Linked DNA regions of Daphnia pulex. The protein of the gene in region 2 purifies or fractionates together with the protein of the main gene of each other region. This does not show direct contact. Links are inferred from orthologs where the notes say so. Each region holds a gene or a part of one and is shown on either strand. Other genes may lie near its edges.

Evidence for each region.
Region 1: the proteins of mitochondrial carrier homolog 2-like (region 2) and OCIA domain-containing protein 1-like purify together in Homo sapiens (affinity purification with mass spectrometry; 3 studies listed by BioGRID and IntAct, with this or other methods). This does not show direct contact. The link is inferred for Daphnia pulex from reciprocal best matches to the Homo sapiens genes MTCH2 and OCIAD1.

The regions. Positions count from the first base shown.
Region 1 is NC_060019.1:8,683,432-8,690,479, reverse strand, and holds OCIA domain-containing protein 1-like, read right to left. Parts: upstream 4,251-7,048; 5' UTR 4,236-4,250; coding exon 4,151-4,235; intron 4,073-4,150; coding exon 3,993-4,072; intron 3,923-3,992; coding exon 3,805-3,922; intron 3,710-3,804; coding exon 3,523-3,709; intron 3,389-3,522; coding exon 2,974-3,388; 3' UTR 2,846-2,973; downstream 1-2,845. Other genes in the region: uncharacterized protein LOC124190603, read left to right, coding at 1-213, 848-1,015, 1,226-1,442, 1,528-1,609; protein SDA1 homolog, read left to right, coding at 4,367-4,453, 4,540-4,644, 4,737-4,835, 4,889-5,071, 5,142-5,207, 5,270-5,362, 5,431-5,502, 5,573-5,674 and 6 more. UniProt on the Homo sapiens protein: Maintains stem cell potency. Increases STAT3 phosphorylation and controls ERK phosphorylation. May act as a scaffold, increasing STAT3 recruitment onto endosomes. Involved in integrin-mediated cancer cell adhesion and colony formation in ovarian cancer.
Region 2 is NC_060023.1:12,108,257-12,115,607, forward strand, and holds mitochondrial carrier homolog 2-like, read right to left. Parts: upstream 3,455-7,351; 5' UTR 3,277-3,454; coding exon 3,276-3,276; intron 3,211-3,275; coding exon 3,031-3,210; intron 2,959-3,030; coding exon 2,817-2,958; intron 2,755-2,816; coding exon 2,560-2,754; intron 2,493-2,559; coding exon 2,306-2,492; intron 2,238-2,305; coding exon 2,019-2,237; 3' UTR 1,649-2,018; downstream 1-1,648. Other genes in the region: putative ammonium transporter 1, read right to left, coding at 1-14, 74-185, 257-487, 561-766, 840-1,070, 1,128-1,217, 1,278-1,311; uncharacterized protein LOC124198180, read left to right, coding at 3,753-3,810, 3,868-4,077, 4,136-4,352, 4,422-5,511; cadherin-23-like, read left to right, coding at 6,487-6,547, 6,608-6,757, 6,882-7,144, 7,209-7,289, 7,351-7,351. UniProt on the Homo sapiens protein: Protein insertase that mediates insertion of transmembrane proteins into the mitochondrial outer membrane. Catalyzes insertion of proteins with alpha-helical transmembrane regions, such as signal-anchored, tail-anchored and multi-pass membrane proteins.

The DNA of each region.
Region 1 (7,048 bases), on a different chromosome or scaffold from region 2:
ATTCTGGTCGGCATCCGACATCTCACAACAAATTAGTGGATGGTGTCCCTCGGTTGCGGGACGCAGGGGCTCCTTCGGCTCCCGTCATTGTGCCCGGCCCCGCCTTGATTCCATCAATGGGTGGCGGCCAAACGGTACGGCTCAGCAACGGCCGTGCCCGCAAATCACGCATTAACGAGGCCAATCTCCAGCTGTTGCCCAACGTTCCGTCAGGTTAGACAAAATCACATTCTTGTTGCTCCCCCTGAGAAAAAAAAGAAAAGCTTCGAATTACTGTCCATTTCATATCAGTCTTTATGATCTTTTCATCTGATTTTCCAAAGCATAACGATTTTTCTATGCCCCATTCAACATCGAACCCTCACTTTTTTTTTCGCGTATTACAACCCTTGCTATCTCGGAATACCATCTACCCATTTACTTAGCAATCGCCAAAATCTAACTTGTCTATAAAGACTTGAATATATACAGTACTACTACTATTATGCTGATGACACTTGACGTTATTTTCCAAACTGGAGCCATGATGCTAATAAACGGTCCGCGGAACCAAAAGCTTTCATTTCTACTATCTTCGAAGCACTTGGGGTCGGTCTATTAGATATCTAATTAGACTGTCGGCTTATTCCTTCTACAGCTTAAACATGGTGAACGGTTTGGATGCTTACCATTTATTACTTACTGCATGATGCTTGTGTCCAACATTTCTCTCTCTTTTTCCGCGAGTAGTTTCCTCAATCGTAGTTGCAATTTTCAGTTGAATTTGGTGAGCATGAAATCGATGAATGAATTCAACCTCCTGCACGTTGCGCTGGGTGTCTGTTGCTTACATCTCCTTTTGCAGTAGGCCTCAGACTGGCTTCTGCTGACGTTGATTCGAGTGGTGCCGGGACGTGGCAGCAGCTTAATCGTCCGTTACCGTATTGGTGCTGCGGAGTAAGAGGACCGCGGCCAACTGGATCCCGTCAAATGCATTTACCAGATACGGATAATAATATTCCTTGGTCTTGGGAAGGTGCGTCACTATCCAATAGCTATTTTTTAAATAGCATAACCATAGCTTTTCTACTCACAAACTATACACCAAACGACGTGTTGCACTGACCATACACTAACTAGGCTTTCACAACCGTATATCCTTTCTCACTTTTTCACATCATCTCTTCAAACTTATGACTCCTAATGGAATTTAGTATCTGTTAAAATAATCCAACGGCATCACTAGGTTCCAATGATCCAGTAGACCACAGGGGAAACAAAAACCGCAACCGTGACAAGAAACGAGGTGGTGTAGTTGATTTGTTACTGCCGTTCACAGCAAACGATGCTGAGCTCCAAAGCCCAACGACAGCTCGATCCGGAAGGAAACGTCAACACGGACCCAAGCATCAACCTAAACTCGTCCCTGGTCCCAGTTTTGTTCCGGGCAATGAACGCAACAGGTAGTGAACAAGAGAAGTAAATTAAACATGAAACGAAAAAAGTGCCGTGCGCTAATTATGAATGAATTACCTTTTTTGTTTTTAGTAAAATAAAAGAAAAGAAGGAGAAAAATACTGCTGCTGGCTCCACTTCAAATAATCGAAAGAATAAAACGACTGCAAGCTAACAAGTAACTTCCGAAGATTCACGAAGAAACATCACGTTTTAGATTATTATTTTCTTTTTGTCTTTTCGTAAACGTTTTCTCGCAATAATGACAAAAATGACATAACATATGGGGACTGGATTGAACTCGGTTTCTAGTCTCCTGCGAGCCGAATTGGGGAGAGCAACTGACGATTAAAATGTTGTATACTATTAAAAACACCACTTACTATTTTCTGTTTTCAAGATCCGATGAGAATTATTGTGAACGATTCTGTATAACCATAACTGTTTTCAATTATCATTTTTAGCTTGCGCTGTATAAAGTTTTTTGGCTTAGTAATCCGAAACGTGCGCACAAACTGTGTTTCATCAGTTCATTCTTTCTTAAGGCCACGAAGCCTCCACTACAACGTCGTACTACTCTTTTTCCTGCAAAATTTTTCCTTGAACGACGAGTGGACCAAAATTAGAGAAGAATAAGCAAATTGGAATACTCGGCTTAACTGTGGTGTAAGGAATCGTATCAAAAAAGAAACAGTGAGATGATTGATGATGTGCTCGAGTGCCTTTGTACTGTAAAATGCCAGATTCACTTTCGTTCGATCCTTTCAGAACCAAATGTCGGAACACTTAGGCACATCCGCACATGGTCTCACACGAAGATTGTAATTTATGCTTCTAAGCGGTAAACCGGATGGTGTTATTTTTAAAAATCTTCTATAATAGGACCGTCTTGCTGTAAAGAAGTATGCAGGAAAATATAAAAGATTGGCAATTAAATTATTTTTTCCGGTATATCAATTTAAAGTTGGTCACCTTCACTTATTGTATGTCACTGACTCTCTCCTCCTAAAAGTTGTAAAGTTAGTTACAATACAAAGTGAAATTACAGATTCAAGGGCTATAATTCCTAAATTGCGAATAGTTGTTCAACGACGCAACGTAACAGCCACCAAGTTGTGGCTACGTGCCTACGTCATTAATTCCTTTGGACTACGTTTACATTTACAAATACAAATTGAATGACCACTATTCCTCGAGATTTTTTTTTCTTTACTTTTCAAATACAATAGCGAATCTAGCTATGGTCAATAACACTTTGTCGTCCAAGGGATAGGGCAAAACAAAACAAAGCTAACCTCGACCAATGACAATTACCACTTACCCTTTTTGACTTGTGCATGCACAAGTAGTGCACTCATACAGGAAGACTTTTAAAGTCATATGAATTATCATGAGAAATAAACAGCTGAACTTGTTTCTCACTGATTCTATAATAGTTCTATAATGTTAGGGTTGAAATTGTGAAATACAAAAGTAAACAAAAATATAAAGGCGATTCAATTGATGCTTTTTACCCTACATCTAATCCGGCTACGATATTTACTCTTCCCAAACATCGCCATAAAGATTTTTCTTGTCAGAAGTGCGAGATCCCGATGGCAGATTTTGCGGACCGGCGTAACCCGAGCTGGGTGGTGGTGCAACATTTGGAGTCGTTTTGATTCCATCCGTTTTTCTGTAAGCATCCAGTCTCTTCTGCTCGAATTCCTCGCGATTTCTTCGACGTAGATCGTCATACGACGATGAACTCTGGACCGGAGAAGGCAGAGGCTGTTCTGAGACAACAAACGAATCCATCGATGGTCGAAACGAATCGTTCAGTCCAACAGCAGTCGGAGGAGCATCGTACGACCGATCTTCACTTCTTATTTCTTGTAAATAATCCGGTTGATTTCCGCCCTCGGCATCAGACGTATACGACGATTGTCCTAGATTTATAGGTTCTGAAGTAAACCTACAAACCATGTAAGAAATGTTGTCAATTGGCAAGATTGCACTCAGTTCATCAAATTAACTACAGTTCAAGTTTTTAAGTACATAAAGAAATTATGTACTTGTGATAACGAGCTAACAAAAGGATAGACTTACACTTCTTGGAAACCTTTGTTTTTCCCTTTCCTTTGACGCAAGGCCTCAGCTAGTGGTGAATTTGGAAGAGTCATCAATTTTTCAGCACATTTTGTTTGGTAAGACAACTTTCCAGCAAAGTACCCAACTGATGCACCTATAATGATTTTAGGCCATGGACCCCATCTGGTGCTACCCTTAAAATAACCTGCATACAAACAAATGTCAGTTACCATCTTGTTAATTTTCAAAAATAATGAATATTTATGATAGAAAAATTTACACTGAGTAATAATTACTAACCCGATTTGACTCCATAAAAAGCAACAGCTCCAAGTATGGTTCCCAAAGGTAAACTTCTGAAGTAGAAACTTTCATAATTACATTCTTTCAATACTCTTAGTTCCTCTGGACTGAATTTCTATAACAAAATATACATTTCGATAATTAAATATCAAGCAAATTATTGCATAATCTGACTATTATTTTACATATAGTTCACGTCGTGAAAGGACATCTTCTTCTGGTTTTAGAGATGTACGAGACTCTGCCATTTTTATTTTCACAATTACTACAAGTGATGAACCAAACAGAAATAAAAAATTGATAAAACTTTTGATTATATTTTTAAAAATATGATGCCTCTCACCAAGCTGCCGTGCGTCGACTCCCGTGCAGCCGCAAATGGAAGCAGACGAATTGGCCAACGAATAGCAGACAACTTCAGTTGTCATAGCTACACTAACACGTGGTGGAGCTCTACAACGCAAAACTCCCCAGTTTCTTGTTTCTTCCAAGATTGTTTAAAAAGCTTGTAAAAAATATCCGTTGTTAAAATAGTGTGATTACTTATTGTTCACTTAAAATGGTGAGACACAATAATCAGCTTCCTACAAATTTACCGCAGTTACAGAACTTGCTTAAGCGAGACCCAGCGTCCTACAAAGATGAGGTATGGCTGTCAACCAACTTTTAATATTTTTGCTATACATTTTGCCCAATTTTTATTTAACTGACAATTAATCTTTTCATCAACAGTTTATGCAGCAGTATCGCCATTACATTTCAACAAAACTGGTCTTTGAAATGAAACCAGATCAGTATAATAAAGATCTGGATGATTTAGTAATGTTTCTAGCTCAGGTATAAAGTTACACACTTGACTTGGATTTAAAACTTCTCCTGCAAACAGATACATTAGTTTGATCAAAATTGACGTGAATCTTTTTATCCAGGTGTCACATTGCTTTCCTCAAGATTTGGTAGGATATGCCCAAGAACTAATGGATATATTACAGCGACATCCAACCACTCTACACCCTGACATGAGAAAAGTAAGCAATCACACCTTAGATCCTAGACAAATCTAATTTTATTTCTCTTTTAGACATTCTGCAGAGCTCTTATCTTACTGCGTAACAAGAACCTGATTTCTCCAACAGCTTTGTTGACTTTATTTTTCCAGCTTCTTCGTTGCCCTGACAAGGAACTGAGAGCTTTCTTAAAAAATCACATCATTACAGACATTAAGAATGTGAATTCAAAATCAAAGAACATTAAGCTGAATAATGTAAGTATTTTTTTTTATTATGTAAATACTCTAAATTGAAGTCTACGCTAACCAAAGTCTTTCCCCATAGGTTCTCCAAAATTTCATGTTTGCAATGCTTAAAGATTCAAATGTCACTGCAGCAAAGATGTCTTTGGTAAGTTTGAAATGTTATTCATGTTAGTATTTGTAAGTCTATATTTTTATACTTCTTTGTAGGATGTAATGATTGACCTTTACAAGAAAAATATTTGGAATGACCAAAAGACTGTTAATGTTATTGCTACTGCATGTTTGTCAAAAACTACAAAGGTGAGATTTTACAACATTTTAAAGTTACATTGTAAACATAATAAAATTTATTTTTATGTAATGACTAGATAATGGTGGCAGCTTTACAATTTTTTATGGGTTCTGACGAAAAAGAAGAAGATTCAGATAGTGACGCAGAGGTAGCAGAGAAATTTCTTTCCAACTTAAATTTTACAACTGTATTTTAAACATTATTTTCGTGCATGTTAGGATGATAACGTCATTATCAAGGAAGTCGGTATGGCCGCTCGAGTGAACAAGAAGTCCCGAAAGCGCGAAAAACAAATGGAGAGAGTGAAGAAGACTTTAAAGGTTCGGATTACAGTCCATTGGTTCCCTTGGTCGTCGAATCACGAGACCAGTAAATTAATTGTGAGCTTTGTTTTGTCATCCAGAAACGCAGCAATTCCAAGAAGGCCCCTGTTTTTAACTTCTCCGCCATACACTTGGTCCGGGATCCTCAAAGTAAATAATTCTCCGTTATTATTAAATTAAAGTTCCGTTCTGCATATTGAAGATTGTTTGTTCTTCTCAAGGTTTCGCCGAACAGTTGTTTAAACATGTGGAAGGGATGAACGAGCGGTTTGAAGTGAAAGTCATGGCTTTGGATGTGATTTCGCGTCTGATAGGAATCCACCAGTTATTCATCTTTAATTTCTACCCGTACTTGAATCGTTTCTTACAGCCACACCAGAGAGGTGATTACCAACCTATTGTTTTAACTGTCAAGTGACAACCGTTAACGGAAACGGAAACCTATTCGATACACCCGATCCGTTTTTGAACATTAAAAAAACTCTTTTTAATATCTTTTTGCTTGACAGATGTTACAAAAATGTTGCTGTTTGCTGCACAGGCTTCCCACGAGCTGTTGCCACCTGATGTTCTAGAGTCGGTTGTGAGTGCCATTGTCAACAATTTCGTAACAGAGCGGAATTCCGCCGAAGTAATGGCTGTTGGGTGAGGGCTATTTATTTACACTTCATGCGCATTTGCATTTATATATAATACTCGCGTTCTGTTCGAATCAGGTTGAACTCGATAAGAGAGATTTGTGCAAGATGCCCACTGGTAATGAACGCCGAATTGCTTCGTGAACTTGTCGAGTACCGTACTTCTAAACAGAAGAGTGTGATGATGGCCTCTAGGTCTATTCTGCAGTTGTATCGCATCATCAACCCGGAAATGCTGCCGCGCAAAGAAAGAGTATTTATGCGAGAATAATTTTTGTCTTGATACGTCATATTTAAGCTTTCTTTGGCATCCTTAATCATGTCTTTCATTTTATTTCATTTTCAAGGGGCGGCCGACCGAAGCTATGAGCGAGTTGGCTATCAGGTAATAACATGGAATAATAGCATAATAATATTACAGTGGACAAGGCAGAAGAAGAGACATTTTAACAACGTTTACCTTATGTCACCCACTAATGTAGAGCTTACGGAGCTGTGGATGCCAAGGATTATATTCCTGGAGCAGAGGCACTCAATCCGGATATTGAAGGTGCTGCCGCGGATGACGAAAAGGAAGAGTCGGCAGCCGAAGATGAAAGTGATGGATGGGAGGATGTAACTCAATCCGATGACGAAGGATGGGTTAATGTATCTCATTCGGATGACGGCGAAGAGGTTGGAAGTGACTCGGAAGCCGATGGCAGCGACGAAGAAGACGACGATGATGATGAAG
Region 2 (7,351 bases):
GACAGGATCATCAACTGAAAATTCAAGTTTAATTATTTTTCAATTTACAACATTATTTTTAAAACAAAATTACTTTTGGCAAATATGATTATTTTCTGTGCTATAAGGTAGACAAAGTAACTCAGAAATCCGACAATTAGAGCAGTCCAATTCTGATACTGGTTACATCCAGCGCATATTGTTATCTGTGATTCAGTTGAGAATTGAGGTTATGCAAAGCTATAATATACACACTCTTCGCAAGAATAATGCTTACCATTCCAATAAAACTGCCATTTAGCCCAACTTCAAAATTCCAGCAAGAGCGTTCAAAAACAAAACGCTGGAAAACGATGGCTGTCATTGAGCTGGCCAAAACACAAACTATCGTATTGATGGCAACTTTAGCTATTACAATTCCGTCTCCCGGATTTGTAATAGATCCATTTGATCCTGTGTTAAAAGCGAGCATACCCAAAACAAAGAAGAACGAGCCTAAAAACGCTTGCTAAACCGGATAGGTTAAAAAAAAATAACCGAGTTATTTGATTAATTCTTAACAGGAACAAGGTTTTAATGACCGGAACAGAATGGAAAGGAATGTTGTTCATTTTCCCGTCCTTTTCGAATCGATCGTGTCGTGGGCCGGTCATGTAGGCAGCTGCTAAACTTGCTGCCCCAGCATACGCATGAATTGATCCACTTCCGGCAAAGTCCTCGAAACCCAATACCTTAAGCCAGCCATTTTCTGACAACGCCCAATAAGACGAAACCGGGTAAGTGAAGCCTAAACATTTGAAATGTAAAGAGGCAGCGTGAGTTTTAGGTATATACATTCTAAGCAAGGAATTATACACAACCTGAAATCAAACAAGTGTAGCAAAGAAAGGCCGTGGTAGTGCAGCGTTCGTGCACGATTCCTTTCACGATTGATGTTGCCGTGGCTGCGAACGTGTACTGGAAAAAACAATGTGCCATTTTGTCCTCGGGCAGGCCTACCAAAGCAAAATATCGCGTCCCACAGAAGCCATTTTCACCCCCACCGAATGTTAACGCATAGCCCGTCAAGAAGTAAAATATCACGCTGATACCTTTTAAATGAAACCAACAAACAGCAATATAATTTTATCTGGTAGATTAATAATTACTTGAATCGACGTAGTTGCGAAACAGGACGTTGATGACATTCTTGGGTCGGACACATGATGATTCATAAAATGCAAATCCACCTTGTAAACCTTAAAAAATAAAAAATGACTTTAAAAACCAATTAAATTGAGAAAAATGCCAAAACTTACAAAAGACGAAGATACCCATGGTGATAAGGAACATGTTGTCTACATTCTTTTTGAAGGCAGCCAAATCCTCCTGTAATTTTAACTCTGGTTGTAAAATACTCTGATTGCTTGACGACATTTGCTGGCAAATGGTAAAGGGAGCAAACAAAACGCGTTAACCTAGAACTCCAAATCGATTGCGAATGAGCAGCTTCAGTTGGTAAGATCCAGGCTCCATTTCAATTGAACTGGAAGATCGATGGCCGAGCGTCACAAATCGAACAAGATCAATTATTAAACCAAATCATCAAGCAGTGCGTCCTTCAGTACGGACAATAGTCGTATACATACGTTCTGTCAAGGTACAGCAACGCACAGAATGATACATTTCGTAAGGTCTAATTGGTTTTTATTTTCATGACGGCAGATGAGTTAGCGGGTCACACAGTTTGTCGAGGGAGTTCACTGTTTGGACAATTTTCATGTGCGATCCTTCTGGTTTACTACTATTGAAACTAACATGATGTGAGAAATTATGATTGACCATTCTACCGGGAAAGTTCAAGAACAGGAAAATAAGTTTTCCAGACCCCAAATCTATCAAGAAATTATCAAAATCTACAAAGAAAAAAGAGATTGTGAATGAACATACTTGAATGATCCTATGCTCTTATTCGACTTCGAAATTCGAAAAGAAAACAAATAATTGAAATCCTCCTGATTAGAATCACCTCCGTATCCAAGAGTCTAGCCGACTGGAACTTAATTTGGCCGCAAAACGGCAGTTGTTCCAGTGTAGTAACGCCAAACGATAGACGAGCCTCGTTTCATTTGATTGGTGCGCGACAAATGCGACCAGCAGTCGGTCCAATTGACGTAGATGGGCATGTGAGGGGGTTGACCAGCGGCCAAACCAGAATTGTTTACTGCCATACAAGCAGACATGACATGGAACGGATACGTCAGCGACGTTGACAAAAACTTGAAAGGAAAAATTTAGAGCAATTAACAAAAAATCAAAAGTGAAATCATCCAAGGTTTGTTTTTACCCCGAAAGTTGTTTTAAGAGTTGCTCTGTAGCGCGGGTCACCGAGAATATATGTACTGACAGTAAAGCTGGCGGACGAAGCCAGCACAAGTGCCAAAAGTTCTCCAATAATTCTAGGGGTAACTCCTTGGAAAAATCCTGCAATCCCACTCTCATGGTAAATTTCTTTTGCAGATGCAAAGACCCCACTATGATTACAAAGATGGGGTATTAGTTAATTGCCAAAAGATGCGACTATCGAGAGAATTTACTTACGTATACTTTTGCTCTTCCCCGACGAATTGAGCCATGGTTCGTACGGCAATAACGTGGAAAGGTTGACTGGCAATAATAGATGCTGTAGTGGCAGTAACGTTACGACAGAGAGTCAACGCGAATGTCGAGAATGTTTCATCAGCCGCCACTTCTTCCTCTTCTTCTTCATCATCAGCTGTGAATGGGTCCCTTTTTCTACAAAAGGTAATAATACATTACATGCACATAATGATAAAAATGTGAATTGAGTCACATACTTTTCTTTTTTGCCTTCCACATGAATTATGAATAATTCAGTGGCTTTCTGAAATGCCATGCCTTTAATGATGGTTGCACACATTTTAGGACCAAGTCCTCTGTAGAGGCCGAAAAATCCATCTCGTTTCTTTATGTATCCAACTAGAAAATAAGAAAAAAAACAGATCACATTAGATTGCAAAACATGTTTCAAGTACACTCTCTCTTTCTTACTGTATTGGAACACATTAGGAAGACCGAGAGCAGGTCTACCAAAAAATGTCCTGGTAGGTACTGGCGCCAAGGGTTCATGCCCTAATTGTATCAGTGTCTTGGTAAGATCAATGGGATGAGCTCCAGTTGCTACTGCACATCGGAAAACGATATTGCTCCACGATCCTTGTTCAGAACTCACTGCAATGATAATTTACATGTTTAAAAGTGCAGATGCATCATAAAATTTGCAAATCAATCGTAACTATTTATCGTTGGCGATTATTCTTTATTGTAAATTCCCCATACACTAAGTACTTTCAGTTGAAATTCTTTAACCGGGAGCGAGTAAATAATTATGACTTAAAGCAACCTCGATTTACGAGATTTTCAACTGCAGACGGAAAACAAGTCGGCTAAATTTTACAATGGTTTGATTGGTTGTTATATCCGCATGGCGGCGGACTTTCAAGTCTAAAAAATGAAAAATGGAAAAAAAAACCTTGGAAATTTTACATTAATTACAGCAAAAGTGGAGAACATTTTTTGTGTAAATTTAAAGACATTTTTTAAAAGGTGAAATCGTGTATTTTAATGTTAAAATCCAAATATGAAAACCTGAAAACATCGATTTCATGAACAGCAGACGAAAAATGTTATGTTTATTTTTTGACAAACCGAAAGAAACGCGAAAGCATTATTGACATAGAAAGACAAACAAAATACTTGAAAGTGCATACAAAATGGCTTCTAGATGGAGACCTAAAAATAGAAGACAAATTCTTCAGCTTGATGATGAAGGTAAATCATTTTTGTCCGTAAAATACTAAAGTAAAAAATTAATGAACGATACTGAAGGATCGCAGAGTCCTTCAATTCAAAACAACCCTCCAATGGGCAATCCTCCTGTAGCTCCTAGTGCACCAACCAATAAACTCCATGCTTTGTTGGGACACTACAATTCTGACGATGAAGATAGCAATAAAGAAGACGAAGATTCGGAATTTAAAGATTTTATGAATGAAATCAAATCAACGGAAGAGGTTCCAGCACCTACAACTCCTTCGGGTAAATGTTTTTGTTTTAACCCTTGAATTTACTTTTCTAAAAATTTATTTAAAAATAGTTTGGCAAGAGCTATGGGATCCTCAATCAGGACAACCTTACTTTTGGCATACACTCACAAACGAGCTGACTTGGGAAAAACCCCAGGACCTGCTAAAACCACCTATGTCTAAGTCCAGCGTTGCATCAACTAAAGTAAACACAAATCCAAGCATCCAGGAAGAAAGTAAAGCTGTCCCACCAGGGAATTCTGCAATAAAGCAAGAACTTCCAATCAAGTACTAATTTTCAAAATTAAATTTACTGTGAGAAAACATTATAATTCCTTTTCATCTGCAATCATCTAGAACTTTTGTTGCTGTATCAACACCTACAGTTGAAAAGCTAAACGTTCCTGAACCAATGAAGAAAGAAGAAGGAAAAGTGAGCTTTAAAATCGGTGCTTCTGAAAAGAATCTCAAAACTGGACCAGAATTAGCACAGGCCAAAACCAACGGTCGCTTGACTATCGATGTCGACAGTATTATTGCAGCCATTGAAATGGAAGTTCCTCCAGATCACAAAACGGAAACTTTTATTCCTTTATTTCGAAGGCGTCCACAACAATCCAACGACTCGCGCCCGAAGCTCGGCAATGATTTTAAAAAGTTTTTCCCTCTTACTCACCATCCCGTTCTCGATCTCGAGGTGAGACCAGATTCGCCACTTAAAATCGTCAACACTTTCAAGGGATTGGGTTTCCAAGAGAAAGAAGATATCCCGGTTTCTACTCCTGTTCAAAAAGTCCAGTTCATTGCAGGAGAAATCCTGAAACCATTAGTGGTTGTACCGCCAGTTGCTCCATTAACTGTTGCCCAAAAAATCACACGATTGGAGAATCACTTGAGCTCGCAGGAACTACCCTCTATTGGAATTTCAACTGAACAATTAACTGCCCAGTTGGAAATCTTGAAAGAAGCCTGGAACCTAAAGAAACTCGAGACAGATTTTCTAGAAGAATGGCTGGATAAAATGGAAAACAAGTTTAAAGAAGAAACAGTCAAACCAGAAACTCATCAAGATCAAGTCATCGATATGGTGCTAGAAGATTCGGACGGTGAGAGACCCTCAACCCCGCCTGCAGAATGCACTGTAGTTGCCAAAAGTGAAGATGTTGCAGAATGTTTAGACTCGGCATTGAACTCGTTCTACACCGATCTGGCTTCTCTGGATACTGTTACACCCAATTCACCAGTCGTCCCAGTCGAGCCAGCAGTAGCACCGGAGGTTGCAACACCAGCAGAGATAGCAATCGCCTCAGTGGCCGAGTCGACTACTTTGGTCGTAGAAGAAGAAACGAGTAACGAACCCGTCAAGGGGATTAAACGGACAAAAATGTCATCAGATATGACGTCGTTAGTAGCCAAGTGGCAAAAAATTCACCAGACAAACACTTAATTCAATAGGTTCACAGGTTCAAAATGATTCAATATCTGTTGTTGAATCATCGTGAAATGACCGTCTTGTAAATAACCATTTCTCAAATACATCAATTTGAATTTTCCGTCATCAACATGACTTAAAGTGAATATTAGGAAGTTCTGATTAGAGTTTTGAATAGATTAACCTGCTATTTTTTATGTTTAGGCGTCCAGATTCTCTTCAGTGGCGGTAACCAATTTACCTTTTCATCCTAGAGGTTTGTAGGTTATTAATTGAATCATCTTTTATAATTATTTTGACACTAGATGTCCCAACGACGGTTGCGTACTGTTTTCGTTATCTCTGATCTGTTATCTCTGCTAAAACTAATTTTATACTAGGTGCAAAAAGAATATGTTCTTTTTCGATGAATAAGAGTTGCGCATCTGGCTAATTTGAATCAATGAATAATTAAAAACGAGTCAAGATGAAAGTCTATCGTTTCAAGCAACTGTTGATAGATTCAACCATTATAATTTGACTGCTTGGCCATAAACCAAATTCCTATTTTTACAATCCAAAACACTTGAGCTGTACATATTTAACTTGTTGGAGATAAGATTGCCTAGGTAACGGAACGCAAGGGGAATTTCTTGCCTCCCTGTGCTGTATTGTTTGCACTGACACGCCTATGCCAAATTGAATGCGATCCAGTCGGTAGGTTTTGATTGCCACTTATTATTCATCGACTTAAATACCTGAAGATTTAAGCTGGACATACCAGATAATTCCCAATTAACTCTCATAATTGACGTTGTCTTATCTTGAAAAATCTTGCCCAACCCATCAGCCATATTTAAGTAATGCAACGTCCGAGATAAAACGAAAACATTTAGACGTGTCTCATCGCTTGCCAGAGATTGTTGTGTCATTTTTCATTTGCGTCAATTTCCCTTGGTAAAAATTCATACAGTCGTACACATTTCCAAACGAACGAGTGTTTTCAGAAGAATGGTTCTACATCCAAAAGTGGTCAGCGGGTTCCTGTATTTTCTCTTCATTTCTTCAGCGGGTAACTCTCAGATTTTGTCTTGTCAATAAAATAAAAGTTTATTTATTTGTTACTTAATAGGTGCGCAATGGCAAAATCCTTGGATCGGTTTACCTCCGCCCACTAGCGCGGCATTTGGGCACGTTAATGTTACCGTTACAGCCAATCAATTGGACGTCGAAGAAAATGTGCCAGGGAACACGACTCTGGCCGTTCTCTACTACACCCAAGGTGAAAATTTGTTTTATTTTTAATTAAACGAGCAGAAACTTCTTTCACCAGTTATTTCATTGGCGTTAATAGTCAATAACTGTGTTATCACTTTTAATAATAATGGCTTATTAAAATATTCCAGGTGCTGATGAATCTTACGATCCGGTATTGCTCAATGGTTGCGGAACTGTTCTGCGAATGGGTACCCCAAAGAATGGGATGGTGGACATTATCTCGATGAAAGAGTTTGATTACGAAAGTGGCGATAATAACTCGTACTCGTGCACTTTCTATATTTCGAAACCTTTGCCTGCAGTCAAACCACTTAATTTTAACATTATGGACATGAACGACAATAGGCCGTTCTTTTCCAAGTATCCCCCTTCAGCGCTGAATTTCTCAGAGGTAACTGAATTTTAATTTTTAGAAACGTTTAAATTTTAATTGTGTCCTATATATTCATGAGCAGAATAACAATGGACTTGTTTATGATTTTGAAGCGACCGATGGCGATAGAGGAGATGTTTCCAATTTAATTTACAGTTTTGTGGTAAATGAATTAATCAACACGAAATTCCAAACAAATTTTGAAGTGGTTTAAATTATTTCAGA